Cricetulus griseus: one gene and its partner. The protein of the gene in region 1 interacts with the protein of each later gene in a biochemical or structural test. Links are inferred from orthologs where the notes say so. Each region holds a gene or a part of one and is shown on either strand. Other genes may lie near its edges.

What was found.
Region 2: the proteins of Rab6a (region 1) and Kif20a form a complex in vitro, tested with the Homo sapiens proteins (2 studies listed by BioGRID). The link is inferred for Cricetulus griseus from reciprocal best matches to the Homo sapiens genes RAB6A and KIF20A.

Annotation. Positions count from the first base shown.
Region 1 is NC_048596.1:98,876,297-98,891,909, forward strand, and holds part of Rab6a (ras-related protein Rab-6A), read right to left. Parts: intron 10,465-15,613; coding exon 10,406-10,464; intron 8,883-10,405; coding exon 8,829-8,882; intron 6,801-8,828; coding exon 6,695-6,800; intron 6,629-6,694; coding exon of another isoform or gene 6,523-6,628; intron 4,638-6,522; coding exon 4,526-4,637; intron 3,387-4,525; coding exon 3,293-3,386; intron 1-3,292. UniProt on the Homo sapiens protein: The small GTPases Rab are key regulators of intracellular membrane trafficking, from the formation of transport vesicles to their fusion with membranes.
Region 2 is NC_048595.1:202,845,359-202,860,971, forward strand, and holds Kif20a (kinesin-like protein KIF20A), read right to left. Parts: upstream 10,419-15,613; 5' UTR 10,280-10,418; intron 9,625-10,279; 5' UTR 9,603-9,624; coding exon 9,441-9,602; intron 7,695-9,440; coding exon 7,605-7,694; intron 7,516-7,604; coding exon 7,396-7,515; intron 6,825-7,395; coding exon 6,686-6,824; intron 6,584-6,685; coding exon 6,396-6,583; intron 6,318-6,395; coding exon 6,191-6,317; intron 6,003-6,190; coding exon 5,808-6,002; intron 5,710-5,807; coding exon 5,598-5,709; intron 5,494-5,597; coding exon 5,425-5,493; intron 5,234-5,424; coding exon 5,090-5,233; intron 4,960-5,089; coding exon 4,794-4,959; intron 4,688-4,793; coding exon 4,523-4,687; intron 4,397-4,522; coding exon 4,257-4,396; intron 3,164-4,256; coding exon 3,061-3,163; intron 2,654-3,060; coding exon 2,455-2,653; intron 2,255-2,454; coding exon 2,163-2,254; intron 1,893-2,162; coding exon 1,755-1,892; intron 1,212-1,754; coding exon 894-1,211; 3' UTR 708-893; and 1 more. Other genes in the region: Brd8 (bromodomain-containing protein 8), read left to right, coding at 10,788-10,806, 12,077-12,173. UniProt on the Homo sapiens protein: Mitotic kinesin required for chromosome passenger complex (CPC)-mediated cytokinesis. Following phosphorylation by PLK1, involved in recruitment of PLK1 to the central spindle. Interacts with guanosine triphosphate (GTP)-bound forms of RAB6A and RAB6B.

The DNA of each region.
Region 1 (15,613 bases):
CAAGTCAATATCCTAACTCAGGGGACAACAAGGCACTTATACCAGGCATCCTGAGCTTATGGACCACATATTAAATTTTAGCATATCCAAGTCCCATATGAATATTACAAATACTTCAACTGAAAGAATACAGAAAACAAACAAACCCATTTGTAAAACCCCTAATGCAATAAAACAAAAACCCAGATACAGATAACATAACTCTTCCAAAAAATTACTAACCCTCCAATAATGGCATCTAGTGAAATCAGATGAAATCCCAGAGAACTCAATGTAAGACCTATGTTCAACATGCAAACAGCTGGACAAAATAGTTAAGGTGATAGATGCTATAAAAGAGGGATTCAACAAAAACAAATACTGAAGAAAAACCAATCTGAAATGCTAGAAAAGTATAGTAAAAGTCAAATAAAAAGCTTCATGGAAAGTCTCAGTAATAGAATGGATCAAGGAAAGAGAGAGGACAGAATATCTGAGCTTGAAGAAAACAGCAATAGAAACCCTAGAGTGCACACAAACTCATGGAGATCAAACAATACAACCAAACAATGAATGGGTCCTTGAATTATTCAAACAATAATTAAAAAACATTCCTAGAATTAAATGAAAATGAAAACACAACAAACCCTTGAGATACAATGAATGCAGTTCTAAGAAGGAAGTTTATAGCTCTAAATGCCTACATTAGGAAAATCACCTTAACGATCCAGAAAAAAAAACAAAAACAAAAAAAAACCAAACAAACAAGAAGCCAAACTGAATCAGTAGAAGGAAAGAAATCACTATGATCAGGAATTAACAACAAAGGATACAAAGAATCAACAAAACAAAGAGTTGGTTTTTTGAAAAGATAAATAAGATAATCCTTTAGTCAAACTGACCAACAAAAAGACCCCCATTCATAAAATTAGAGATGAAAAGGGAGGGCTGAAGAGATGGCTCAGAGGTTAAGGGCATTGACTGATCTTCCAGAGGACCAGAGTTCAATTCTTAGCAACCCATGGTGGCTCATAATCTTTAATGAGATCTGGTACCCTCTTCTGGCATGCAGGGATACATGCAGACAGAACACTGTGTACATAACAAATAAACAAATCTATTTATTGCCGGGTGTTGGTGGCACACATCTTTAATCCCAGCACTCGGGAGGCAGAGGCAGGCGGATCTCTGTGAGTTTGAAGTCAGCCTGGTCTACAGATTGAGTTCTAGGACAGGCTCCAAAGCAATACAGAGAAACCTTGTCTCGAAAAATCACACACACACACACACAAAAAACCCCAAAAAAACAAAACAACAACAACAACAAAAAAACAGAGAGACAGATAAAAAGGGAGTTCTTACAACAAATGCCAATGAAACTAAAAAAACATATATTCCACTACAGTGGACCAGCTAAAAAAAAAATGAATAAACTTCTAGAGGCATATGATCTACCAAAATTAAACCAAAATGAGATAATTTAAATAGATCCAGAACAAGCAATGAGCCTGAAGCAGTAATTAAAAATCTCCCAACTAGGCTGCCTAAAACTTATTCCAAAAACAGCTGGCATCACAATGTAGATGGAGAAAATCTTATTGGACTCCATTCCTAGAAGAGCTATAAGCAATTAACAATTTCTGAGAAAGGGAGAATTAGTCTTCCCCAGAGATGAGCCCCCTAATAAGTTATCCAGTACCAGATAGTCAGCCCTAGAAACTTTTGTGCTTGCAACACCGAATGGACTCAGTAAACTGTATTTATATATTTAGTTGTTTATTTGTGTGATCGTTAGAATGAGAATGGCCCCATAGGCTCATATGTCTGAATGCTCTGCAGTTGGTGGAACTGTTTGGGAAGAAATGTTTCAAAAGCCCAGCCATTCCCAATTAGCTATCTCTTTCTCTCTCTCTGCCTTCAGTTCAAGGATCAGATGTAAGTAAGTGTTCAGCTACTGCTCTGGTACCATGCCTGCCTTCCAGTCCCGCCCCCCACCTCCCCATAATCGCCATGGACTCACCCTCTGAAACTGTAAGCAAGCCCCCCAATTAGATGCTTTCTTTTTTTCCCAAAACAGGGTTTCTCAGTGTAGCCTTGGCTGTCCTGGAACTCACAGAGATCCTCCCGCCTCTACCTACTGAGGCCTGGGATTAAAGGTGTGCGCCACCACACATAGATTACTAATTCAGCTCTGAGTCTTGTTCACAAAATCTTTCTGCAGTGGACAGTGGCTAATATAGAGACTAATAACTGGTCAAACTGCTGAAAATAAGCATGTGAGTGCTCACTAACTCACCTCCACCCCCAAGGCACTGTGAACATCTCAGAAAAGGGTTTGAAGGAATTTAAGTGTTGAAAAATGGGAGGAATGCTGTGAAATGGTGCCTTCTTGATATGATATGGACTCTGCATTCATTAACATCAGCTGTGGTTACCTAGACTTGCACAAGTACAAGCCAGTCAACATCTCAGCATGGGTTGGGGAGGAGCTAACAAGGCCCTACTCTTAGCTGAGAAGCTATTTTCACTGACAGTTGTTGGGGACAGAAATCCACCCCCCCACCCCAACTTTGGGGATGTAGCCATGGGTACATTGTCATGCCTCTGCCTCCAGAGTGCCGGGATTAAAGGCATGCACCACCACTGCCCAGCTTCCTTTTGTAAAATTTAAGTACCATCAATTTATAAAAAATGAAGTAATAAGAATGTACTTTTACAGCAGTCAAATAGTAGTTTTCATGTGTAAGTCTTGACTACCAAATTCTGAAATAAGGAAAGTCTACATTTAAGACAATGAAGCAGGGATGTAGTAAGACTTCGGAAGTTCAGAACTTTATACTCAGAAATATTGCAATCACAATGAATTTGTTATCCTGTGTAAAATCTGAACAGTTTTGTAAATACTTTTTTTTTCTTTTTTTTACAAAAAAGGGAACGTGCTGCGCGAATTCATTTTGCCAACAGTTTTGGGGAAACCAGTCTTGGGGCGTGATTTCTATGTGTGGATGTGATCTCTTAGAAAGGGGGTCTCTGGCTCTCTTGTGTTCCATTGACCCCAGGACAGAACAGAAGACCCCAGTGGCTCTCTATCTTACTGTTATTTGTAAGTGTTCCCCAATAAATAGCTGATATCCTTTTACTTGGTCTCTCATGGACTCACTCACCATCACCTGCATTACTTTTTTCTCACTCTATGAATTCTAGTTGCTGTTGCTAAATGAAATAAAACTTTGCACTAAACATTAGCTTACTCACAATTATTTCACATTTTCTTAATTTAGGAACAAACATTTCACACTCAAAGAAAACTTACCTGCTTTACATTGTATCCTGCTTTTGCACTGGTTTCAATAAACATAACGTTCAGCTCTTTGGCTTTCCTTTCTCCCTCCTCAATTGACACTTGCCTATAGAAAAAAAAAGTAATGACAAATTCTTATTTTATTTATTTGGGTTGTTTTTGAGGCAGAGTTTTCCTGTGTAGTCCTGTTTGTCCTGAACTCCCTCTGTATACTAGGTTGGTCTAAAACTCGAACTCCTCTACCTCCCAAGTGCTAGGATCAAAGGTGTATGCCACCAGACCTGGCAACAATTTTTTTTTTTTGAAAGATGAAATCCTAAGATTATAAACAAAGATTCTATTGGTGTTGGTTATATAAACAACTGTTATATTGTTAGTAACTGTTTGTAGCATTTAAGAGCTGTACATTACATGTCTGTGTTTGTGTGTATATTTATATCCGCCTCCCATACTGGGAATTGAACTTAAGTCTTAAACATGTTAGGCAAGAGCTCTACCAACGAGCATATACAGCTTAAGAACTTTTCTTTCTTTCTTTTTAAACTAAATTTCATGTCTATTTACCACATGCATAATTAGTACCTATGGACAATTTCAAAAGAGGGCATTGGAGCCCTTGGAGCTATAGCTACAGATGGTTGTGAGTATCATGTGGGTTCTGGGAATTGAACAGCCAGTACTATTCTGGAAAGAGCATCCAGTACTCCTAACCTCTTAATGACTTAAAAAAGAAAAAAAAAAAAAAGACAGTGTCAGGCCAGGTGTGTCGATGCACGCCTTTAATTCCAGCACTCAGGATTGAAGCAAAGGCAGGGAGATCTCTGAGTTTGAGAGCAGCCTGGACTACAGAGTGAGTTACAGGACAGCCAGGACCATTGCATAGAGAATCCCTGTTTTGAAAAACCAAAGAGTAAGCATCCCATCCCCCCACCCCCTTCACAGCTGTCTCTAACTCCAAGGAGTATGATGCCATCTTTTGGTCTCGGTGGGCACCTGAACACATGCAGTGCATATACAGACAAGCAGGTACACACACAAATAAAAATAAAAAATACTAAAAACATTAAACCATATGAATTTAGCCTTGTAATTTTAAGTTTTACGCAAAAAGTGCATGTCAATTTGCTGTTACAATTTATGTAATAATTTACCAACTGTTAAAAATGTAAACATCTTTTCAAAGCCAATTTTTAGTAAACAAACATGCTGCTTAACATAGAAACCAAGCATTCAGTTATTTCATACCTCTTATCAGCAAGATCTGTTTTATTTCCTACTAACATGATGATAACATCACTTCCTCTTTCTGTTCTGACATCATCAATCCATTTTGTAGTTTGCTGGAATGAGTTAACATCTGGCATTGAGAGTGGACAGAGGGATTAGTGTTACTGAAAATGCCACCCCCAGTGAAGGACAACACTTCCCACAAACACCCTGAAAGAGGGAAGGGAGGACAGCACATTAAGACCCCATTTTTAATGTGCCTACAACGTAACTCCATTTTATCTGATTACAACTGTCAGTGATTTAGATGAATCTGAAGTAGAAAAAAAAATATTCAAAGTTCATTTTAGAGAAAAGCTTTTTTGACAATAACCAAACTATTGTAAAAGTAATACATAATTATAAAAACCAAAAGCTTTCTGACATCTAAACACAGCTACAGCAGATAATATGGTGTTACATTGCCACAATGCTTTTTTTGATCACTTACACTAATACATACCAAACATGACAAAGAAAGCATTTCAAAAGTATGTCAGCCAGAAGTCCCAACACATCCAGAAAATTCATAAAGGCTTTCAACACCACTGTGCTTGCATTGCTTACTTAGTTTGTGATCACTTTAACCAGATTTTTAAAAATCCTTTCTTCTACCTCTATCTGCCTCTTCCTGGGATTAAAGGTATACACCTCAGAGCCTGACTCTTGAATTTGTTTTGTATTAGAGTCTATGTGAAGCAACCTGAAGTTCATTAGTTTGATGTATCAGGTTCACTTCTAACTGAATTCATTCTTTGTAAGTATTAGATCCTAGCTAGAATACTTCAATATGCTTTTTAGCAGCTAAAGTAAGAAATTCCCTAGTGTTTTAACCACATTCGTGGAGTTAGAAGAAAACTACGACAAGCTTTGGTTAAAGTAAACACAAACACTTTAAAGCTACAAAACAGGCCAATGCATTATAATAAACATTAAAAAACAAAAACAACCCCAAGTAGCAACCTAAAGTAAAGCTGCAAGAGAAGAAACACAGCATACAGCACATACCCAAAAAAGTTTAAAAAAAAAAAAAAAAGAAGAAAAATACATCATGGAATATAATCTTCTTATTTTTGCCACTGTAATTATTGTTTGGTAACTATGACTTTTGAGTGAATATACAAAAATTTCTAGTAATATGACTAGCTCAAATCAGCTGCTTAGACATGGTATTTTTACACAAGTCCAAGATGCTGCATAACCTTGTTTTTCCCATAAATTATGGGCTAGTCTATGGAATGATGTTCAACATTGCTTTACATGTGTAATAAAACAATTTATAAAGATAAATTCACCAGAGAGCAGTCACCAATGCTCAGTGGAAATTTTATAGTCACTTAAAGACCAAAAGGCACTCAGGTCTTGAAGAAAATAAAAATACTGTTTTATTTTCCATTTAAATTTTTTCTTGGAGAGAAATGAAAGTGTAATGTGTTAGCAACAAAGAAAACCAGTCACAGAATCCATATACTCAAACAAAAATGACTAACAGAAAAATACACATTGTGTTTCTCTGTTTTTCTCTATGTAAGAGAATGACTGGAAGGGGTAAGCAGAGAAAACTCCAGCTGGCAGAAACTTTTTAAAGCCTCCAAAAAAGCCATGTAGGATCTGCAATACTTGGCAAGAAACTTATACAGATTATCTTTGAAATCTAAGATAAACTAATGAATAATATTCCTTTAATTATAATTATAGGATAGTTTATGGATAAGAGGCTATTATAGAAGCCTTGAAAAAGATTCATAAATAGATCCAAAAGACAATTTCTGAAGATCAAAACCCTGGCACAGAGACATAAAGCATATTGGTACAAACATGGAGGCAAATATTTCTGATTTGGCTAGTCTGTGATACAGTTTGCTATGATAAAACATTTTACATGCCAGTAAGGAAAACAAGCACAAGACAAAACATGCATGCAGCTAAGCTAAAGGTTGAAAGAAGATTAGAAATGCATAATTCCCCCCACTCACTTGTGATATCATAAACAACAACAGCCACAGTGGAGTCACGAATGTAGCTAGGAATCAAGCTCCTGAACCGCTCTTGACCTGCTGTGTCCCATAATTGCAATCGCACCTAACAACAAAATCAGTCAAACAAGCAAGAAAAGTAAGAAAGGTCAACCCATTGCAGTATACCTACTTGTGATATCGTAAACTACTACGGCTGCAGCAGAGTCACGGATGTAACTGGGAATGAGGCTACGGAAACGTTCCTGACCCGCAGTATCCCACAGCTGCAGCCTGATCTGTGGGATGGGAAAAAATAAATAAAACCAAAAAAAAACAAACAACAGAAAAACAAAACAAAAACCCAAAAAAACTAATACTTAAAAAAAAGGGAATGAGTTTTGTAATATGAGTGGTACATAACTCATGTAGAGGTTTAATACAGAAGAATGAAAACATAAAACTCATTTCTGAAAAGTGAGAAATATTATGAAGTTGCTCGTTTTAAAGGTACAATTACTGAAAATGCTTTGTGAAAGATTTCACAGAATCAGAAATAAGGTTTTCCTCATCCCTCCCCATAACTTTGAATCCCAGTATCTTATCTTCCAAATGATAAAACGTAGACTCTTGGGCTGGGCGGTGGTGGTGGTGGTGGTGGTGGTGGTGGTGGTGGTGGTGGTGCACGCCTTTTAAACTCAGCGCTTGAGAGGCAGAGACAGGTGGATCTCTGTAAGTTTGAGGCCAGCCTGGTCTACAGAACGAGTTCCAGGACAGCCTCCAAAGCTACTGAGAAACTCTGTCTCAAAAAGAAAAGAAAAGGGGCTGGAGAGATGGCTCAGGGGTTAAGAGCACTGCCCGTTCTTCCAGAGATCCTGAGTTCAATTCCCAGCAACCACATGGTGGTTCCCAACCATCTGTAATGTAGTCTAGTGCCCTCTTCTGGAGTGCAGGGATACATGCAGTCAGAACACTATACATAATAAATAAATAAATCTTAAAAAAAAAAAAAAGAAAGAAAAGAAGAAAAAGCAGACTGTTGATTTACAAATACTGAGAGAGAATGAAAGCAAATGTTAATGCAAATCTGAAGCTATCAGATGACACAGTAAGTAATGCTTCTCTGAGATCCTCTCTAAAGTTAAAATGTGTATTTCCTGGGTCTGGGACTACTGTGTGTATGTTTCTTCTATACATTTCTGCCCCGAACACTGTGGATAATGGGGGGGGGGGGGGTGTCTGCAATTTTTTTTTAAAGATTCCAAACTCTCAAGTTTTTAAGAAAAGCTGTATTATATACGAAAACATCCAAGAGGAAAAGAAACCCATACTTCAGAAATAAATAAACACTAGAGATAATGCAATATTTTGGGTGCATTAAAGTTATTCACTGTTTAAGCTGGTGATAGGAGTCTCTTCAAGGAGGAGTAGGCCAAAATGTAATTTTTTAAAATAAGAATTGGTGGTATTTATTTATTTATTTATTTATTTATTTATTTATTTATTTATTTATTGTGTATGCAGTGTTCTGCCTGCATGTATGCCTGCATTCCAGTAGAGGGCACCAGATCTCATTGGAGATGGTTGTGAGCCACCTTATGATTACTAGGAATTGCACTCAGGACCTCTGGAAGAGCAGGAAGTGCTCTTAACCTCTGAGCCATCTTTCCAGCCCTAAAATATAATTTTTTTAAGGGAACACTCAACAATAAGGAAGATAAAAATCTGACATATATTTTCCCCGTTCAACCACTCTGTTACATGTTCTTCTCTGACAAAGTCTTTAAGTCCACAAATTATGAAACCTTTCTGAATGATCTGAGTGGTGCTCAAAAGGTCTTTAGCAGCTCTAATTTCTTCATGAAAATTCCATTAATTCTCTTATAAATTAATCTGTTGTCCTCTTTCTTCCTTCCTTCCTTTCTTTCTTTTTGAGACAAGGTTTCTCTGTGTAGCTCTGGCTGTCCTGGAACTTGCTCTGTAGACTAGCCTGGCCTCGAACTCACAGAGATCCACCTGCCTCTGCCCCCCCTTAGTGCTGGTATTAAAGGCATGTGGCCTTTTTTCCTTTTTCTAAATCAAGACAGCAAAATAAGCCTAAGGACATCAGGGTTCTACAAACAAATTTTGACTTTCTTCCTTTGGATGTGAAATGGAAATAAGAAATCAAGAGTGCCAAATCAACTCGGCAATAAATTTTTCTCAAGATCTAATTTTGATGATTTTGCCAAAGCACTTCTGATGGGGACAATTGCTGACTACCCCTGTGATTCTTGTCTTCTAGCCTGGAGTGTTGCAGAAAACTGCACACTGAAAATATTACTCACTGTTCGATCCTCCAAATACATTGTTTTTGATAAGAAGTCAATGCCAATTGTTGCCTATAAAACAAAACAAAAGAGTTAGCAAGAAATAATAGTTTGTTGGCAGCCAACAGTTTAGGATACAAATAGGACATATGAATTTGAAAGAAAAATGGATATATATGTAACCACACTTTAGCCAAGTGAGAAAAGCCAATGTTCCATATACTAAGCACTAGCTCTGTGTTGCAGACTAATTACCTCAGGCCCTTTATGTGATCAATTCTCATCCTCATTCATGAAAGATAACTAATTTTCACATTTTATAGAGAACAAGACAATGGGGATTTTTGTGTGTACCAGAATACTAAAATATCTGAATACAAATCTTAGTCTGAATATCTTAATGTTCCCAAGTCAGAATGGCTATTATCAGACCCAATAGCAATTTTATGAAATATTGTTAATGTAAACATAATCATGCCTAAACTTCCCACATAATTGCTTGTTAGTGTCACAGACAGCCAGAGACCCAGAAGTATGATTCTCAAAGGGACAGGACTCTTCTAATATAAAGTAATGTATTAAAGTAAGGAAAACAAATTTTTCTCTTTGTCATTCAATACTAAGTACCTCCTGCGATCCAAACACAGTGCAAAATTCTGTGTACCTGGTTAAATAATAAAGAATTTTAAAAGGTTTAAAAAAAAAAAAAAAAAAAAAAAAAAAGGTGGGGTAAGGAAGCCTAAAATTACCAACCATCTATAAGTTCACTGCCAGGGGATCCAATGCCCTCTTCTGACCCCATGGGCACAAAGCATGCACATGGTGCATATACATGCACGAACGCAAAAATGAATAAATCTAATTTTAAAAGAAAAAGAGGAAAAAGGAAAAGCAGCTTCGTGCTGGTGTGTCCTTCCTTGCTTCTGATCCACTGACAAGTGAATTGTACTAGTTAGTCTACTATAACCTTCCTGTCATGATGGCCTGAATCCTTTATACATCATAAACTGAAATCAATTCCCAAAAAGGAATCTTAGAAGTCTTGGATGAATTCTCTGTAAGAATATCTAGTATCCCTTCTAATTCCATCTAAGAAAATATTAAAGATAATTTTTCAATAAACTTTGAAAGAAGCAAATGGAGTAAGGCTGGAACTACAGACAAGACTATTTTATACTTCGTGTTTATATAACAATGTATACATCATTGAAAGCAATTTTCTTTTCTTTTCCTTGTTTTTTGTTTGTCCAGGCAGGGTTTCTCTGTGTAGATAGCTCTGGCTGTCCTGGGATGGAACTCAGAGATCTACCTGCCTCCCAACTGCTAGGATTAAAGTCGTGGCCCATAGAGAGCATTTTTGTATCTACGACTGCATGTAAATAAAAGAACCTTATTTTTTTTTTTTTTTTTTTTGAGACAGGATTTCTCTGTGGCTTTGGAGGCTGTCCTGGAACTAGCTCTTGTAGACCAGGCTGGTCTCAAACTCACTGAGATCTGCCTGCCTCTGCATTCCAATAAATGAACTTTTAAAAATACCTTAACCATTCCTTTTAACATTAAGAGACAAATTTAACAAATTGGCAAAAACAAAGTACCTGATAGGTGTTGTCAAAACTGTCATACATGAATCTGGTGATCAAGGATGTCTTTCCAACTGAAATAAAAAGAGAGATTTGCTTAGTGAACATATTAAGTAATTAGGTTCCCAGGTACTGCTCAAAGGGTAACTATATGAATGGAAAGTATATTCAATGGTCTTATTCAATGTTTGCTGACAGGGCTTTCTTAATAATAAATAATGGTCTTTTCACATTAAGGGCACAGGCAAAAAGTATTTAGCTGAAAGTTGAAGAAAATGAAGAAGGGGATGGAATAAAACTATCATGTTGATATTCCAAATTTCCAAAAGCAAAAGCAGGTATTGGACCTAATGGGAGGAAGAAACAAACAAAATGAAACTCATAGCAGCTCATGCTCAATTTTAGCAAATCAAATGTGGTTCATAGGAGTAAAAAGCAGTGAGGGACAAAATAGTCCTGAGATGGGTCATCAGGGCTCTAAGAACCTAGGATTGTCAAAATGGCATGTGAAGGTGTTCTGAAACTCATTTCAATTCAAGCTCAAATCAGTTATGGTCTGGCATATTCTGTTTCACTGGTAGCGAAATTACAAAGATCTACAATTTTAACTTTTGCTATTAGCCCAAGCTGGCCTTAAACTCACTATGTAGCCTGGACTGGCCTCAAATTTGTGGTCATTCTCTTGCCTCAGTCTGTGGCGCACTGGGATTACAAGCATGTGCCACTGTGTCTAACTATAATTCAATTTTGCATTTCAAGTCTTAGGAAAAGCGCCACTTAGACTGAAATAGTGAAGTATTGGAACTTCCTTACTAATGACTGTGTTCTTCAAGAAAAAGAATACATCTAATTACTTTTCTATTTCTTCAGTCACTTCACATAGACTCTAAAACAAATGCTAAGAGCCAGGCTCAGTCCCAGGAAGAGGCAAGTAGATCTATGAGTTCAAGGTCAGCCTAATCTACAAAGTGAGTTCCAGATTAGCCAGGACTACATAGTGAAACCCAATCTCAAAAATCTCAAAGCAATACAACTAAGCAAATGTAATAAATTCTATAAGTTAGAAAGGAGCCAGGTAAATAAACTTCTCTAATATTCCCCAAAAACGTAAATATTGTGGGCAAGGATTAAAAACCACTCAGTCACTGACATTTTAGTATGATTTTTAAATAAGTTTTGTTTTCTTTTAAAGTATTTTTTAGCTTTAACTATGTGTGTATGCACCTACATACACATAAGTATGGGTGCCGACAAAGGTCAGAGATGGCAAATCTATCGGAAACTGGAGTTAATTGTAGTTGTGAACACCCTGAAATGGGTGACTGGAACCAAACTCAGGTCCTCTACAAGAACAGTACATATTCTTAACCTCTGATACATTTTTCCAGCCCCAAGTTTTTATTTCAATACAATTTTTTTTTTTTTTTTTTGGTTTTTCGAGACAGGGTTTCTCTGTGTAGCTTTGGAGCCTATCCTGGCACTCGCTCTGGAGACCAGGCTGGCCTCGAACTCACAGAGATATGCCTCCGAGTGCTGTGGATCAGACTGGCCTCACACTCAAGAGATCCACTTGCCTCTGCTTCCTGAGTGCTGGAATTAAAGGTGTACACCACCACTGCCCAGTTTAAAAAACAAACAAACAAACAAACAAACAAAAAACTACAGGGGAAAAAAAAACACAAAAAAAACAAAACAGGGTTTCTCTATACAGCTTTGGCTGTCCTGGGACTCTCTCTGTAGACCAGGTTGGCCTAGAGCTCTCTGCTTGCCTCTACCTTCTGAGTGTTGGGATTAAAGGTGTGCACCACCATGCCAGGCCAAATAGACTCCTTAACTGCATGTGTAAGATCTCAACATTCAATACAACAGAACACTCTGAGAGAAAAACAAATAAAAATAATCAAGAAAATCCAAATAAATGGAAGGATATATTATATAGTTGGTAGGAAGAATCAATGGGGGCTGAAGAGACAGTTGCCCTTAAAGAGGAGGTTCAATTCCCAGCACCTACATGGTGACTCCAGTTCCAGGGGATCCATTTCCCCCTTCTGGACTCTGTAAGCATCAGTCACAAGTCTGGTGCACAAACATACATGCAGGCAAAACATATGCACACATTAGATGAATGAATGAATGAATGAATAAGGATCAATGTTAAAATGACTCCCCAAATCATGCACAACACAAGCCCAGTTATAACTGCCTTTTGAAAAGACTACCAAATCAATTCTAAAGTTTATTTAAAAATACAAATAATTTAGGTTAAGGCGATCCTGGTATCAGTGAACAACTTCAAAACTGACTATGATAAACTATGATAGTATGATAATGGATACTGGCTTAAAGACAGAAAAACACAACAATGGAACACAACTGTGTCCAGAAATAGATAAAAATCTCAAGGTAGTTGAATAAACACCTCTGCCCCTGAGACCAAAACTATTTCCTCTGACTCACATTCTTCTCCAAAAGGAATAGAGATCAAACTTTTATATTTTCCTCCATCACAGCATCTCCAGAATACTGTTTTAAAAAGCATTTGTAGCTAAAACTATTTCCCAGAAATGAAACACTTTTTTTTTTCTTTTTTGGCCAGGCATGGTGGCACACATCTTTATTCTCAGCACACAGGAGGCAGAGAAAGAGATGGATCTCTTTTGAGTTAGAGGTCAATCTGGTCTACATAGTGAGTTCTAGGATAGCCAGGGCTATGTAGAGAGACCTTGTCTCAGTCCCACACTCTTAACAGTATTTAATTCTTAACTATAGTACTGTTTCACATAACAGATGTTTTTAGTATTATAAACTTTTATTCCTATTCTCACTCTACAGAATTAGTGGGGAAAAATTATTTTCTGCCACTTCTACTTAGGGAAAACCTTTGGTCTGTGTGGGTGGTGCACATCTGTAATCCAAGAACTCAGGAGGAAGAGGATTATTGCAAATTCAAAGCCACCATGGTCTTCATAATAAGGTCTAGGGCTATAGCAAGACCCTGCCCCCGTCCCATGTACACACACACACTCTCTTTGCCCTCAATGAAAATGAACAAATGGGCTAAAGAGAAGCTTAGCAGTAAGGAGCACTTTTGTTCTCACAGAAGATACAGGTTCAGTTCCTAGCACCCACACTGTGGTTCACAACTATCCCTAACTCCAGTTCCAATGGATCCAATAATGCCTTCTTCTGACCTCTGCAGGCAGCAGGCACATATGTGGTGCATATACATCCATACATGCAGGCAGAACACTCACACATATATTTTTTAAACTTTAGAAAAAGAAAATTAGCAAGTAATTTTACAACTAAAAAGTAGACAATCCTGAAATATTCAGAAGTAAAGTAATATACATCTTTGCCCAAGCTTAGCTTGAATAAATTCTTTTCTTTTTCTATTTTGGTTTTTCGAGACAGTGTTTTTCTGTGTAGCTTTCTCTTTGGAAACTCACTCTGTAGACCAGGATGGCCTCAAGCTCACAGAGATCCTTCTGCCTCTGCTTTCCGTGTGCTGGGACTAAAGGCGTGCACCACCATGCCCGGCTAGCTTGAACTTCTTATCCAGTCAGGTAGCTGAAGCCACAGGTGTTTGCCACAGTACTTTGCCTAGTTTTTATTTAGTTTTAATATAATTTTAGAAGAAACAAAACCACAATTGAGTATAGATCTATAGAAAATGGCTTACTGTGTTTTTTGATAGAGGGTGTCTCCTGGCTGTCCTGAACTTGCTATGTAGACCAGGCTGGTCTCCAACTCAGAGATCTGCTGGCCTCTGCCTCCAAAGTATTAAGAAGGCATGTACTACCATGCTCAGCTGTCTTATTTTGTGTTTTAAAGCTTAAGGGTAATTCAGAGTTACTGAAGCAGCATATCTTGGTTTAGTCGATTTCTGTTGCTGTAGAATTGCATCATTCAAATGAGACATCCTTGGATATAATAATGCAATGAGAGTTAGTTGCAGCCAAGCTTTTCTGCTGTGATCCCAACATACTTTTCTCAGCTACTGTTACCACAGAATATAATCTTAACTACTATTATCACAGTATCTTCAATGTGATACACAATAAAAGAACAGAAATTATTCAATTATCTTGGAAGATAATTGGGTGTGTATGTGTTCATTTGTGTGTATGTGTGTTTGTGCACCTGTGTTAAGATGCATATGGAGTACAGAGATCGACTTTTAAGTGTCTTCCTCAACCACTGCCTACCTTATTTTCATTTGTTTAAAGACTATTTATCACAAGTACATGTGTGTTCTAGAGCAAGCAAGTGGAAGGGGGGGGGCGTGGGAGAAAGGAAGTTAGGGGACAACTTTTCAGGAGCCAGTTCTTTCCTTCCATCTTGTTTTTGAGGCAGGGTTTCTCTTGTTATTTCTGCTGTGGCATGTAGGCCAGTTTCCTATCCATCCTTCTTGTGACTACCTCCCACCTGGCAGCAGGAACGGGTAGGGGGAGTGGGGGGGTATTTTCAGTTTCATATCACAACATCTAACTTTTACATACATTCTGGGAATAATTTCAGGCCATCAGATTTTCGTAGCTAGTGCTTTTATCTAAGTCATCTCTCAAGCCCCACCACTTTATTTTTGACACTAGGACTTGCTTTTTACACTACGATGGCTGGCCAGCAAGGCCCTGGAATCCTCCTGTTTACCTTCTCAGTCCTGGGATTATATGGACTTTTTATTTTTTTGTTTTTTATGTTTTTATTTTTTTAATTAAAAAAATTAGATTAGCTCTGCGGTGGTGCATGCCTTTAATCCCAGCACCCAGGAGGCAGAGGCAGGTGGATCTCTGTGAGTTCAAGGCCAGCTTGGCCTCAGAACAAGTTCCAAAGCTACATAGATAAACTCTGTCTCAAACAAACAAATTGATTTATTTTATGCTTTTGGGTGTTTGGACCTCTGGAACTGAAGCTATAGAAGGAGTTACTAGAACTGGAGTTACAGTTGTGGACCTTCATATAGATGCTGGAAACTGAACCAACATCTACCAAAGTAGCAAATGCTCTTAACTGCTGAGCTTTATCTCTTTCAGCTTGTCCCGAGTCCCAGTCCAGTTTATTTTTTTCCCAGTCCAGTTTTTTATATGCATGCTAGAAAATGAACTCAAATCCTCATGTTTGAGCACTTTACCAACTAAACCATCTACTAGCTCCAGAAAAGCATCTGACAAAGTTTCAACATGCAAAAAATAAAGGAAAAATACAAAAGAAAAACAAAAA
Region 2 (15,613 bases), on another chromosome or scaffold:
TATCCATGATCTTTGGGAAGACGGTTTTCAAAGGGAGTCTTCTAAAACCTTTCAAGTGGAAGTCTCAATGAGCATGAACTGTAGCTCATATTGAGGGCAGAGATGGCTATAGCATTAACTATACCCTGATGAAAGCAACACAAGGAGACCAGATTGCAGATAACCTTGTGGACATTTGAAAGTAACTTTTTTATTTCTGATATTAAAATTCATGCTGGCATCTTTTAGTAAATAATACTGTTTTCAACCTTACCTTCAAGGTTGAGGGAATCATTCTGTGTTCTTGATGTTTGTTATGTTTGTACTATGTGATGCTATTAGATCATTCTGTGTTAAGGTGTAGACTTCCTTCTCTTGTGCTCAGAACATTTTTATTCCCCTTTTATTTTTAAGACTTCATTTATAAAGAAACATTATCTGGACATTGTGGAGCATGTCTTTAATCCTAGCATTTTGGAGACAGAGGCAGGTGGACTTTTTGAAACCAGCTGTCTACACAGCAAGTTCCAGGCCAGTCAGAGCTACATATATAGTAAAACCAAACAAAAAACAAACCTTTCAAATATGTATTGCCATTTGACTCATTTTGTAGTGCGCCTTAGGCTGGTTCCCATTGCTGTTCCTGTCCAAGGGTCCAACGGGCCAGATGGTATTTATATCAGTTTCTGTCCCCCTTTTTATATTTTTCTAAGTTTGGAATCCAAATAAAAGCATAAACCATGTCTTTATTCAGTATATTTGTGCATGGGAAAAAAAAAAAAGAGATTATATAGGTATTATAATAATTCTGAATACAGTTCAGGATATATATACATATATGCTGAAGCTTAAGAGACAAGCTGAGCAGCTGACCAATCTCAGAGCATCAAGCATGCATTTTCATCTCCACAACTTTAGTATTTTTTGCCAAAAGGAGATCTGAGCAAAGGAGAGTGCCGTGAGCGCAAGATCCGTGTATAAGGGCCACTGTCTGTCGAACTTTGGCAGGTGGGTGTTCGGGGAAGTAAGTTTCGAAGGAATGGTTTCTTTCCTGGGGGTTGATGATTTGGTTGCTGGTTTTCCTGGTTTGTTCCCAGCCGCTTTTTAGAAGAAGAAGCCTGGTTTTGGAGCTTTAGCACAGTGTGATACTGCTCAGCAATGCAGGCTGCCTTTTTCCGAAGGTCCAGTTTCACTAGCATCATGTTATTTTGTAGCTCAGCCAGGGTCTGGTTCTAAGAAACATACAAGTTAGAGAAAAAAAAATGTGCCATCTATTACTAGTTTCTTCAAAGGTTGAATCTTCAATGGGTGTGGTAGTACACACCTTTAATCCTAGCACTTGAGAGGCAGAGGCAGGCAGATCTCTGTGAGTTTGAGGCCAGCCTGGTCGGAGTTCCAGGACAGCCTCCAAAGCTACAGAGAAACCTTGCCTCAAAAAACAAACAATTAAAAAATCCTAACATTTCTAAATTCTAGGCCAGCCAGCACTAAATAGAGAGAACCCATCATCTTGTGAAAACAAAGACCAGAACTTTCAGCCTGTCCCTAGGTATCAAGTACCATGTTCAGTCTAAAAAGTATAAATTTTAAGATCTCTGGCATCAGGAGAGGTCATAGCTTAGTGGTGGAGTGCCTGTTTAGAATATACGAAGCATTGGGTCCCACCCCCAACATGACATCAGCATCATTTTTTCACTAGTACATCTTTGTCAGTTCCTTCTCACATATACACTGGAGGGGGGTAAAAAGGGGAGGGATATCTAGGCTGCACTCACCTGTTTGATTAAGATGTCATCACAGTTGGTCAAGGCTTGCCGAAGTTTCCCTGCCCCGGTGCTGTGGCAACAGGCCCTTTCTGCTGACTGGAGAGACTGTCCTAATTTCTGAAGCTCTGTCCGTAGCATTCTTATATTCTGAAAGAGTAGGAATCACATTGTGGCCAAAATCAATCATGGCAGCCATCTGAAGACAGACTTATGGAGGCTGGAGGTTGGTGAGGGCACTTGCTCCCCAAGCTTGACAGTCTCAGGAACCCATATGGAACCCATGTGGCCCCCACAGTACTACACACAAATAAATAAATGTAAAGCAAAAACTGGTTTTCCAAATAAACCAAAAACAAGCTCCCACGTTTTCACATAAATTCCAGATAAAGTGCTTTGATAACAGAGAAAGGTTAATACCTTCTGGCCCTCCTCTAACTTCTTATCTACATCAATGGTGAAGGGCTTGGCTGTCGGTGGTGGTTCTAACATTTGCTGATACTTCTGCAGCTCTGAGAGGGGGAAACACAATATAAGTACACTTAATATAGGTTTTTCTCAGCTTTTGGCTTACCTTTTTAACAGTAGTACATAGCCAAAGTGAGGCAATGTGCATTCTAGAGTAAGATGTGGGTGGATGCAGCTTGGAGTTTGAATACCAGCTCTTCCCTCGCCCACTACCACTGTAGGGCTTTCTGCCTTCCTTCCTCACCTTCAGTTGTAGAGTTTAACTCTGCTTTGCATTGCTCTAGTTTAGCTGTAACTTCCTGCAGCTGCTGAGTGGAGGCAGAAGCTGCCAACCTTTGTGACCGCCGTAGGGACAGTTCAGACCCTGACTGTTGAGCCACAGGCTGCTGCTGTTTGGCTTCCTGCAATAGAGTTTCTAGCTCTTCAATTTTTTCATCCCGCTCCTAAGAGGGAAGCAGAGAGCACAATTCTGTCCAGGGTCAGACAAATACCAAAGGACCAGATTAAACAAACATAAATCTTGACCTTGAACCCTGAACCTAAACTCAGTAACTGCAAGGCACTAAGGGAAATGAAGAAAAAGGAGTATACATTCCTGTTGTTACTAGAGTTTCTAAAACACCTTTAATCCTAGCACTTAGGAGGCAGAGAGGCAGGTGGATCTCCAAGTCTGAGGCCAGTCTAGTCTACAGAGAGTTCCAGGATAGCCAAGATTCTTATAGAGAGAAACTCTGTCTCACAAACCAAATTAACCAATAAATAAACAAATAAAAGTAGAAATTCTTTTTATTTCAGACAACTAACCGATGGAATTATGAGTGGCAGTTGGGACTGGTTGGGGCAAACTCACCTGAATCTCTTCTTGGTAGAAACTTGTCAATGATTCCTTCAGGATCTTTAGCTTCTCTTCATACAGTTCCTCCAACAGTTCCTTTTGGTGGTCTAAATGCTCACTGACAGAAAAGGGTAGGTAGTGAGGATTCTGAGGAGTGAAATTGAGGCACAAACCCACCCTTCTGCCCCCTATATCATAGTTGACTCAGAAAGGTCCAGAAATAGGGATGCAGAAATAAAGGGAACAGGAATATAGATATATAAAATTATAAGTCCAAACACATTTTCAAAAACAAAAACAACCCACAAAGCTGGCAGCCGCTCTTAACCTTCAACAGCTACTTTCTGCCTTAAGAGCAGATATCCTTGCCAGGCGGTGATGGTGCACGCCTTTAATCCCAGCACTTGGGAGGCAGAGACAGGTGGATTTATCTGTTCAGCTTGGTCTGCTTAGTGAGATCCAGGGCAGGTTCCAAAGCTACAGGGAGACCTTGTCTCAAAAAAAAAAAAAAAAAAAAAAAAACCCAACAAAACAGACACCCTGGCAGCCACTGTGTACAGAGGTAAATTGTCTCCTACCTCCCAGCTAGGCAGGCACAGCAGACCAAGGTTAGCTTCTAACTATTGCAGGAGGAGTTGTTGTATTCCCTTAATTTTTAAACCTTTCTCCTATGTGACTCTATTCTGTGCCTTGTGTTCTTTCAGGGACAATGAAAACCTGCTGTATCAACCACAGGCTTTTGCAAACACCCCAAGTTAACACCCTAACATCCTTTAACAAAAAGTTGTATAACTTAAAATGTAACGTGACCTCAAAGTTGTAAAAGCTCTTTGACCCAAAACAAGCCCCTATTGCCATTTTCAGAAGCCAGATCTCTAGCTGTGGTCCCAGTTAACTGGTAAGCTTTTTATTTCCCATGGTGATTTTTTTTTAAAGAAAGATTTATTTATTTGTTTTATGTATATAGCATTCTGCCTCTATGAATGCCTCACACCAGAAGAGAGCACCAGATCTCATTATAGAGGTTTAAGCCACCACGTGGTTGCTGGGACTTGAACTCAGACCTCTGGAAGAGCAGTTAGAAGAGCCATCTCTCCACCCCAATTTTTTGGAATAAAGTTTGCTTCTGTTTCAGACTTTGGTGGTCTGTTCCTCCAGTTTTTGTGCCCCTAGACCCAACAACTCAGTAGAAAGGGTCACTTGGCCAGTACCTGCACCATTGCTCCCGCTGTTGCATCTGTTCTACCATCTCATTGCAAATTTCCTCCCGGAGCTGCATCTCCAACTGCAGCTTTTCTTGTCGTTCCTTTAAAATCAGTGTTTTCATGGCTTCCACCACTTGTAATAGCTCCTAGAAAGAACACATCTGTAAGAGATCTTAAGATCCTCCAGCAGCAAAAGACCCAAACCCATCTGGAACACACTAGGGAAAATGTACAGCCATCAAGCTGCTATCTAGCGCTTTCTTGTATCTCACCTCCTTGCCATACATGGAGATGTCAGCTTCGTTTTCAGGATGGTCATCAAGGCCTGAGTCGGTGTGGTCTCCTTTCTTTAAGCCAGGGGATACCTGAAGACTGTGTTCCTTGATGAATGAATGCAGGGATGGGATTCCCAAATGTACAGGTGGGGCATGCACAAGCTACAGGAAGAAAAAAAAAATCTTAATTGACTCTTTAGTTCCTAAGAGCTATCCTAGGGTTGCCAGTCCAAAGTAAGCACCGTCATCCATGCCCATAGCTTCACACCTGGCTGGCAAGGGCCGAGAACTTGGCCACATGAAGAGTCTCATCGTAAGTGGATGCACAGGGATTCACATTGACAATCATACATGAACGGCCTCGACCAGTGAAGAAGCCTTGGAACACACGAGTCAACTTGCTGTCTCGGAAAGGAATCAGGTTCTGCTTTGACCTTGCAGAGAATCAGATAAATAGCATTGTCAACATAACTTCAGCCCTGGAAGTTTCTAGGCTCCAGCCTCACTGGTGACCTGTAAGTGACCAAATCACCAAGCCCCAGGCCATCCTTGCCTACAGCTTACCGGTTCTGCTGATTTTGTCGCAAGGCAGCAATACATCGACCCAGGGTATGCAGAGAAGTGTTAATGTTTCCTGCTTCCTTTAGCCGTTCACCACTTCTTTGATCTTTGCAGCGCTCTGAGCCAGCCAAATCACACAGTGACAGTCTGGATGGAATAATGTGTAGGATCTGGTATAAGGAACTCATAGCTTATATAATTCTGGTAAGGGAAGGGCCTACCTTTTTTTTTTTTTTTTTGGACCCAAAGAAGGAGAACAATTAATTCCTTTGAGAAGTTCCCCTTGCCCCCACAACTAGGTGGCCAAGATGATCACAGTTTTAAGTGGGAAAACTTACTCACTGATCTTGGGCACTATATCCCCTTCTCCCTGAAGGTGCAAGATTCTGATTGAGAAGATGCTGTGACTGAAAAGGAAGGGGAAAAAAAAAAATCACTATAATGTCTTCAACAATCAGGTGGAGAACTAAAGCTTCCTAGACACAGGGAAGAGTTAATTCTCATAACTTGCCTTCGACTAGAGTTCTGGTTCAGGTGGGTGTTAGCAAAGCTCTGGTTCTTACGACCCACTTTCAAGAGTTTCCAGGCTTCTTCAACATCTCGAACATGAATCCAGTTGAGGTCTGGGGTCAAGACAGAAAGGTGGGAACACTTAGCCCCTTTTCCAATTTGCCCACATGTCCCTCCTGGTTTCCTAGCAACCTGCTCTCCCTTTGCATACCTTTGACATAAGGATTGCCGTTTTGATCCTCACACAGCCGCAGTGTCTGTCTCTTATGCTGATGGCTAGGTGATTCTAACAGGTCATAAAGCAATTCATTGTAGATCTCAAAGAAGGAGATCCAGACAGAGAAGCGAATGTCTGCTGGGACACTTACTGGGGCAGTGTCTGGCTGTGCCCATGACTGACTTGTTTCTATGAAAAAAACCAAAGTGTTTGTAGTTCATTAACCAAGGAGCATTTCATCTTGCCTTGATCTATAGGAACTTCAAAAGATGGACTTCAAGTTGCAGTCTCTGACCTATACCCCTCACAGCTAGCTACTGGGTGTAGGGAGTGGGTCCCCACCATTGCCCAGCACAGAGCCTACTCATGGTACATACCATCCAGCTGGCTACTGCTAGTGAACTGACTGGTGGAAGAGAGCCCAGCAATGCCACTGTCAAAGCTGGTGCTGGTACCCAACCGACTGTCAATGTGGACACGTTTCTTCAACGATGTGGACAGCTCCTGAAGGGGCAAAGAGAGAAGATAAGCACAAGTCTTTCCTGAATTCTGTACTTTATCCCAGCTTCACCAATACTTCACCTCCTGGAGGCCTCCAGTTAGCAAGGACAGCTTCTTTAGTTCCTCCTGTCGAACCTGCTTGCTGTCCAGCCAGATTACCTCATTGGAGAGCAAGGGCTTCAGATCAGGTGTTGTATGAAGTTGGCCTTGGAGACTATTAAAGATGAGAGCCAAGGACCGAGGCAGGATCCCCCCATCCTTAATAGTACCTGGAAGAATATCAGAGATAGTGTCTTTCACTTGGCATCCAAAGGTAAAGACAACCATTAGATAGATGCTGGTTAGTAACCCTGCTGAAGCTCACTACTTACCTTGAACTGTGTAGGTTTTCCCTGAGTTGGTGACTCCGTATGTGTATATGAGCCAGTTCTGCCCTTTGAGTACATCCTTTACCATCTCCTTCACAGCCAGGTTGAAGAAGGGTGCCTGTCCCACTTCTGGTCCAAATATCTAAAACAGACCTGTTTATCAGAGGCCACACTGCCATGTTTCCTGTGTAGGACTAGTAGGTGTGCTCCTTCTCTGGGGACTACTCAAGCAGGTTTTCCAGCTGGACTCCAGCTGTTCCTAAATGCTGAAGACTCAATCCCTCTCTGCTAGTCCTTTTCTTCAAAATTAAATACTTAAGGACTGCTTTTTGTGATGCTGTGCATATAAGGGGATAGTATAATTGGGTATAAGCAAGGATTTGGAGATGGTGGCTCTAGATCCCAGTCCTGTCTTCCACTTACTAGTTCTATGGTTTCAGCAAAATTACCTTCATTGTAATATGAGCCATAGTATTCTCATCAGGGAAAAGAGATAATAGTAATTATAACAGGTGGGAGTGAATGCATATAAAGTACCCGACACATTGACTGGCACATGACAAGGTCCCAAAGTTATAGATACACACATAAAGAACTCACACTTAGGAAGAAATCTTTTAAAGAAGAAATAAAGCTGGGCAGAGGTGGCACACATCTTTAATCCCAGAAAAGATAAAGTATTGGGTCTATGTTCTTACACCAGTATTGCATACCTGGGAAAAGGTGAATTTGTGGGTAGCCTGACCAATTCCCCTCTCGTTGCTCTTCAAGGCAAAGGAATCTTTGGGTGCTTGTAGCATAAGGGTTTCTGTATTCTCAATACGGACACAGCCCTGAGAAGTAGAAAGTAGAGGTCACCATAGTAAAGAAGCATTCCTAGGGAGCCTCTTTTGTACTACACTATTCCACCTTAAATCCTCACCTGGTCTTCCTGTCGGTCCAACTCAGAAGTTAAGAAGGGTCTGATTCGAAGGTAAACTTTCACCCTCTCTGCAGTGTCCTCAAATGGAGCCTGTAACAGATTTCAGCCAGGACATAGAGTTAACCTCTAAGCAAATGGGCAAACAGCCCAGTTCCTGGGAAGCATGCTACCAATCCTATCTCAATGATCCTGTATCACTAACTATTCTTTGGTTCCACAATCATTCTAGCTCACATGAGCTTTGTATCCTTTCCTGTCTCATCACTGCCCTGCAAATCTGGCTTGCTATTCCAGTGGTCTGAGTTAGAATTGGTTGATGTTTGAAAACCAGCATGTACCAGGGATGGTGGTGTGTGCTTGTAATCCCAATATCCAGTAGTAAGAAGACATGGGAATCGGAAACTTAAAGCCAGTGACTGACTACAAAGACTACCCCCCCCCAATTTTTTTTTTTTAATTTATTTAACTTGGGTCCTCTGGAAGAGCAGGAAGGGCTCTTAACCCTAAGCCAATGTTCCAATTCAATAATTTTTTTTTCAAAGCTCAGTAATGAAAATTGGGTCAGCAAGATGGCTCAGCTTGCTGAACAAGACTGCCAACTTGAGTTCAATCATATGAATCCATATAAAAATGGAAGAGAACTGACTCTACAAAGTTGTCCTCTGACCTCCACATGTGTGTCCCCAACACACACACACACTCACACCACAGACACCATCAAATAAGAATAGACATGCCTGAATCTGAGTTCCAATTTAATCACTTAGTAATTAGGAGACCATGAACAAAGTTCTGAGTGACTTATCTGAAGAATGAAGTTAAACAGCAATCACTCTGTTTATTCAGCAGATATTTAGAGAATGTCTATTCCCAAGGACACTGAATTTCAATTAGTGAAAAGGTAATGCATCTGGTGGATAGCAGCCAGAAATGCTACTAAACATCTTGCCAAGCATAGGGCAGCCCCCTCCAACAAGGGTTTGACTCCAAACATGAATAGTGCCATTACTGAGAATCTTTGGCCTTACAAATGAAAGGTTAAAACAAAGGCAGCTATGGTTATTATTGAAACATGAATTCCATTCTACCTAGTTAAGGCCACTATGGTCATGTGCAAACATTGTATTGGTGCTAAGATCTGAACCTAGGACATACCAAACATGCATTCTCACACTCTCCATCCTTTCACCTCTTATTTAACATAAATAAATACTGGAGAAATAAGATTATCCCCTCATCAATTAACTGAAAACATGATGAACTTGGGGTATTTCAGGAACATAATGCCAATAATATTTTTCCCTCCTCTCCACCCCTAACAGGGTTACTCTGTCTAACAGTCCTAGCTATCTTAGACTAGCACTGTAGACCAGACCTTGAACTCACAGAGATCTGCCTGCCTCATGCTGGGATTAAAGGCATGTGCCATCACCTATTTTCCAATTGTTTTGCCCTGTTTGTTTGTTTGTTTGCTATTAAAAAGATTTATTTTGTATGCAGTGTTTTGCCTGTATGTATTCCTGCATTCCAGAAGAGGGTACTAGATCTCATGACAGATGGTTGTGAGTCACCATGTCGGTGCTGGGAATTGAATGTAGTACCTCTGGAAGAGTAGCCAGTGCTCTTAATTGCTGAGCTATCTCTCTCTCCAGCCCTTGCCCTTTTTTTTGTTTTGGGTTTTCGAGACAGGGTTTCTCTGTGTGACCGCCCTGGCTGTCCTCGAACTCACAGAGATCCACCTGCCTCTGCCTCCCGAGTGCTGGGATCAAAGGCTTGTGTCACCACCACCCAGCTGAGGATATCACTTTCTGCCTCTAAGCCACTCGACTCCTTTACCTGTTTGTCTTCCAGAGACGTGGAGATGACAGAGCACTCTGACAACAGGTCCTTTCGGATCACAGACCTCAGGTCTGCAGCTGTGGATTCAAACATGGGGGAGACTAGAACATCCTCATCGGACAGTAAGTCCGCCGGCGGAGAAAGGATCCCGTGATCCATGGCAAGGAGAGTCAGCCAACGACTAAAAAGAAAAAAAGTAAATGGGTAGAAGAACATTAACACACAGAAACTGCAAACCTGGGCAGGGCGTTGGTGGCACACGCCTTTAATCCCAGCACTCGGGAGGCAGAGGCAGGCGGATCTCTGAGTTCGAGGTCAGCCTGGTCTCCAGAGCGAGTTCCAGAATAGGCTCCAAAGCTACACAGAGAAACCCTGTCTCGAAAACAAACAAAGAAAGAAAGAAAGAAAGAAAGAAAGAAAGAAAGAGAGAGAGAGAGAGAGAGAGAGAGAGAAACAAACTGCAAACCTGTGGGCTGAAACCAATCCCCTGGTGAGGGGGATGACCTTGCCCAGGACACTCGGTCGCGACTATAAACCACTATCAGCCAAGGGGAAAAGAATGAGAATAACCAGCCCGAGGCTGCATTTCTGAAGGCGAATAGGCACCGAGAGGTAATCAGCTCTAAAAGCAGAAGGCCGCGCGCGCCCCCACAGAGGCTGTCTACAGGCCCACCAGTGCAAGTGTGTTTCAGGATCCCTACGGTACTTTTCCCAACCTCACTCCTAACATAACTGAGGCAACTCAAGGGATGACAGAAGACACGGCGGGGGGGGGGTGTCCTGAGGACTGTGCCACCCAGGCAAGAGCTGAAGCGCTCCAGCCCAATTGCACCTACCCGAAGACGGTCTACCTCGCTGCTTCTCCGGCCCAGCTCCCACCCAGTTGCAGAACGGAGACTCTACCGGAGAACACAACTCCGCCCACGAGGCGCAGCTTTGTCCCCGGACAATGTTTTAAATTGCGCGCTGGGCTCGTCCCACCAATCAGAACGCGAAGTCTGAAGAAACCAATCAGCGAATGGGAGGCGGCGGAGCCCACCGGGAGGCCGTTTGTCTCTAATGTGGGTCCGGTTACCAACTGTCGGGGATTCCAAGTTATTCGTTATGGGATTCGTTTCTCTCAACTCTGAAGCTCTAGCTGTAGACGTTTCTTTCCTGAGGCTTCAGCTGCTCTCCCTTGCCCTGGGTTAGTTTAAAAAGAAAAAAAACAAAAACTAAGGCTGACTTCTACTGGGGCAAACTGACCCACCCACATTACCCAGGAGGCCCCGCGAATGGACGCTGGTCCCGTATTTCCCAGAGTTCCCCGCGTCTTTCGCAGGCGTTGAAGACGTCGAAGCTAAAATGGCGACCGGGACGGGCAGTGAGTATCGTAAGCCGCTTTGACGTTCAAGGCCTTTGTAGGGCCGAGGCTCGGCATCCCATTTTCGTCATGCACAAAGGGAGTGTCCGAGGAGGGAGTTGTCAGAGACCTGCCTTCCGTGGCGCTCTCCGTCAGGGCCGTTGCCTGGGGTCTGAGCGTTGCAGGGATGAACGGAGGCTGGAGACGCCGCCGGGGCAGGGGGCCTTTGTGTGCTCGGCGCTGTCCAGGCTAAAGACCCTCAGCGTAAAGGCAGTACCGACTGGCCTGCCGCTCGCTTGTTTTTCTAACCAACCTGTGTGAAACAGTCGGAATGAGATCTGTTAACTGTGGGCGTTTCCTGCCGCCGGGGGAAAAATGCGTTTCGCGAATCTCCAGCCATTTTTTTTTTTTCCGGTTTCACTGACTAGCAGCCTTATGCGGGACGGCTGAGGGGAGGGGCTGGGGTGTAAACAAACAACTTTATGCAAAGGAGGAGGTGGGCAGTAGGAGCCGGTGGCCGCTGGGAATCTTGGGAAATAAGCTTGCGTTCAAACTGGAATAAAGTTATAAAACTGGGTCTTTAAGGAGATCCCCCCCCCCTTTTTCTTTAATTAAACGTAACACTGCCCCTTTTTTTGAAGCAGATCTTAAGGCCATGGCCTTTGAACAAATAAAATGTTCTATAAATGCGTATTCAGAGAACAGGTATCATGGCTGGTAGTGATTGTATTTTATTGGAATGATGAAAGTCAAGATTTGGTGATCATAAATAATTGGTGGTAGTAGTTCACTTTGTTCGAACAAGATTGAGATTTGTTTTGAGGCAGGACCCTGGCTGGCCTTAATCAGGCTTTTAGCTGTTCTGGGACTTAGAACTACCTCGGTGGTCATTTCTTTTTTGTTTGTTTTTGTTTTTCGAGGCAGGGTTTCTCTGTGTAGCTTTGGAGCCTGCCCTGGAACTCGATCTGTAGACCAGGCTGGCCTCGAACTCAGAGATCCACCTGCCTCTTCTTCCCCAGTGCTGGGATTGAAGGCGTGTGCTTCCCCCCCTCATCCCCCCACCCCACCCCACCCCTGCTGCCCAGTGGTCATTTCTGTTCTGTTTTTGTATTTTTTGAGGCAGGGTTTTTCTGTGTAGCTTTGGAGCCTATCCTGGCACTCTCTCTGTAGACCAGGCTGGCCTTGAACTCACAGAGATCCGCCTGCCTCTGCCTCCCTAGTGTTGGGATTGAAGTCATGCACCACCAACGCCTGCCCTCAGTGGTCATTTCTAAGTCTTCTTTATTCCCAGAGCACAAGCTGCTGAGTACTGGCCCAACAGAGCCATGGTCCATCCGAGAGAAGTTGTGTTTAGCATCTTCTGTTATGAGGAGTGGAGATCAGAACTGGTAAGAAATCTAAGATATCTGATTTCTTGGGCTGTAGTACTGAGTCTTTTCTTTTCTTTTCTTTTTTGTTTTTGAGACAGGGTCTCTCTGTGTGTAGTCCTGGCTATCTTAGAACTCACACTGTAGACCAGGCTGGCCTGAACACAGAGATTGCCTGCCTCTGCCTCCTCAGTGCTAGAATTAAAGGCGTGCTTCAAACTCCTCGCTGTGTAGCCTAGGATGACCTTGAACTCCTGATCCTGCTTCTACTTCCTGAATGCTATGATTATAGGCATGTACTGAGGCTTGGTTTTTGTAGTACGGATCAAATTAAGATTTCGTGCTTGCTAAATCAGCACTCTACCAACTGAGCTATATCCCCATCACCTTCAGGTTTTTTATGTGCTTCACAATATTTCCTGTCCTTTATTGTAGCCATACTGGTAATATAAAGTCATATTTCATCACCAGTTTTTTAAATATTTATTTGCGTGTTTGTATGTGCATAGAAGTGTAGAGGTCAGAAGGCAGCTTGCAAGATTTGTTTCTCTTTTTCCACCTTGTGGGTTCTAGGGATCAAACAAAGATCCAGCTGAGCCAACTCTTTGTACATTGTTGTTTTGTTTTGTTTTCCTCTGTAACAGCCCTAACTCACTGTCTTAGAGCTTTGTAGACCAGGCTGGCCTCCAACTCGTAGAGATCCACCTGCTTCTGCCTCCTGCATGCTAGGATTAAAGTTGTGCACTGCCACACCCAGCTTTGTTTTTGTTCTTAATTTTTATTTATTTTTATGAGCATTAGTGTTTTGGCTTCATGTATATCTGTGTGAGGGTATCAGGTCCCTGGAACTGGAGTTACCAGCCATGTAGGTGCTGGGAATTGAGCCTGGGTCCTCTGGAAAAGCAGCTAGTGGAAAAGCAGCTGGAAAACCTCTAAGCCCCCTCCTTTTGTTTTTTGTTTTTTTAAGACAGGGTCTATATATGTAGTTCAGGCTAACCTAGACATCCCAGTGATGTCCCCTTTTCAGCCTTCTCGCCTAGAATTACAAATTTGAGCCACTACATCTAGTTCCTTATTGTAGTTTTGATATGCATTTCTCTCTGTGTGGCATATTTTCATGTGGCCATATAGGCATTGTATATTTAATGGAGAAAGTTATGCTCAATTTTTGTCCATTTTTGATTTTTGGTTTTTTTTTTTTATTCCTTTCTATAATTGCATTATAATTCTTTGTGTATCTGGAGACTAATTCTTTGACAATTTAGAACTATTTCTCCTATTTTGTATGCTGTCTTTTTTTTTTAAGAATTCTTTTTAATTTATTTTTATTTTATGTGCATTGGTGTTTTGCCTGCATGTGTGTCTGTGTGAGGGTGTCAGATCCCCTGGACTGAAGCTACAGACAGTTGTAACCTGCCACATGGGTGCTGGGAATTGAACCAGGGTCCTCTGGTTAACTGTCAGTTCTCTTAACCACTGAACTATCATCTCTCCAGCCCCCAAGAAACATTTTTTTTTTTTAAGATTTATTTATTATGTATGCAGTGTTCTGCCTGCATGTGTCCCTGCCGGCCAAAAGAGGGCACCAGACTACATTACAGATGGTTGGGAGCCACCATGTGGTTGCTGGGAATTAAACTCAGGACCTCTGGAAGAATGGGCAGTGCTCTTAACCCATGAGTCATCTCTCCAGCCCCAAGAAACAATTTTTTAGTCGTTTATTTTTCATGTGTATGAGTTTTGCATGCATGTATAAAAAATTATATATATTTTTGTTTTTCGAGACAGCGTTTCTCCGTATTGCTTTGGAATTTGTCCTGGAATTTGCTCTCTAGACCAGGCTGACCTCGAACTCAAAAAGATCCACCTGTCTCTGCCTTCTGAGTGCTGGGATTAAAGATGTGTGCCACCAAAGCCCGGCTTGCCTGCTTGTATATTATCTAACATGTGTATTCTAGAAGAGGGTGTTACAGGAGTAACAGATGGAGTAAGAGGTTTTGAGGCACCAAAGAGGTTTTGAGGTGCTGGGGATTGAACCAAAGTCCTCTGGATGAGCAGCCAGTGCTCTTACTATTGAGCTATCTCTCCAGCTGTCTTTGCACTGTTTTGATTAGTATTGTTTACAGCACAAAAGTTTTGGAAACATTTTTTCAAGGTAGGGCCTCTTCTATATAGCTCTGGCTGTCTGGAACTCTGTCGACCAGACTGGCTTTGAACCCAACAGAAATCTGCCTGCCTTTGCCTCTCTAGTGCTGAGATTAAAAGCATAAGCCACCAGACCCAGCCAAAGGTTTTTATTTCTATTATACTACTTTAGTTTCTTCTGTTGTTTTGCTTGAGAATTGTCTAGGAAAATACTTATTTTGCTTTTTTTGTTTATTGGCTTTTACTATTAAATTTTTTACTACCATTGTTGTTTTGTGTGTAGCAGTGTTTTGCCTGCATGTATGCATGTGTACTATGAGTTTGCCTGGTGCCTTTGGAAGAAGTCTTGCTGAAATGTCTTTAAGTTGGTTATAAAGGTTTGTTTTTGTTGATAGCCTCCAAATCTTTATGTAGCCCCACATCATCTGATCTTGTCCTCAAGAATTTTTACCTCTGTCTGCTGTTTGTTGGGGTTATAGGTATATTCTAACACACACTCAGTTAGATATTTCCTTTCTCTTTTTTTGAGACAGGGTTTCTTTGTATGATCCTGGCTGCCCTAGAACTCTGTAGACCAGGCTGGCCTCAAATTCACAGAGATCCATCCACCTGCCACTGCTGGGATTAAAGGCGTGTACCACCACCTCCTGGCTCAGCTAGATAATATTTTAATTACAGAAAGTTGTGCATAGATTGGTTCCTACCTTTTAATTCAGTGGCTATGAACTTGGCTTTGTTGCTGTTGTTATTTTGATTACAGATATGTATGGTAATACTGTTCAGTTTTTCCTCTGTCAGGAAGTTAGTGAAGAGGTTTAATATAGTTATAGGCCCTGGTTGATAGAAAAAGCTCTTAGGGGATTAGTTTGGTTTGGTTTATTTTGGCATGGGGTTTCACTTTGTAGCCTTGGCTGCCTGGTCAGCCATATAGATCAATACCTGGCTTCTTTGAGGAGAAGGGTGGGCTGGAGACAATGACAGGATCTCTTTATTTAGTTCTGGCTGGTCTGATACTCATTGTGTAGCTCAGGCTAGCTTCAAACTTACCATAGCTCTCCTGTCTCAGCCTCCTGTTTGTTAGAATTAATAGTATACATTATACACAGTGAAAAATACTTCATAAAATTTAAACAGCTGGTACATGCTTTTAATCCCAGCACTCAGAATTCTGAAGCAAGGGGATCTCTGAGTTTGAGGCCAGCCTGGTCTACAAAGTGAGCTCCAGGACGGCCAGGGCTTTTTCACTGAGAAACCCTGTCTCCAAAAAACAAAACAAAAAGTTGTGAGCTTTTAAGAGCTATTTTTTTTAAAAAAAA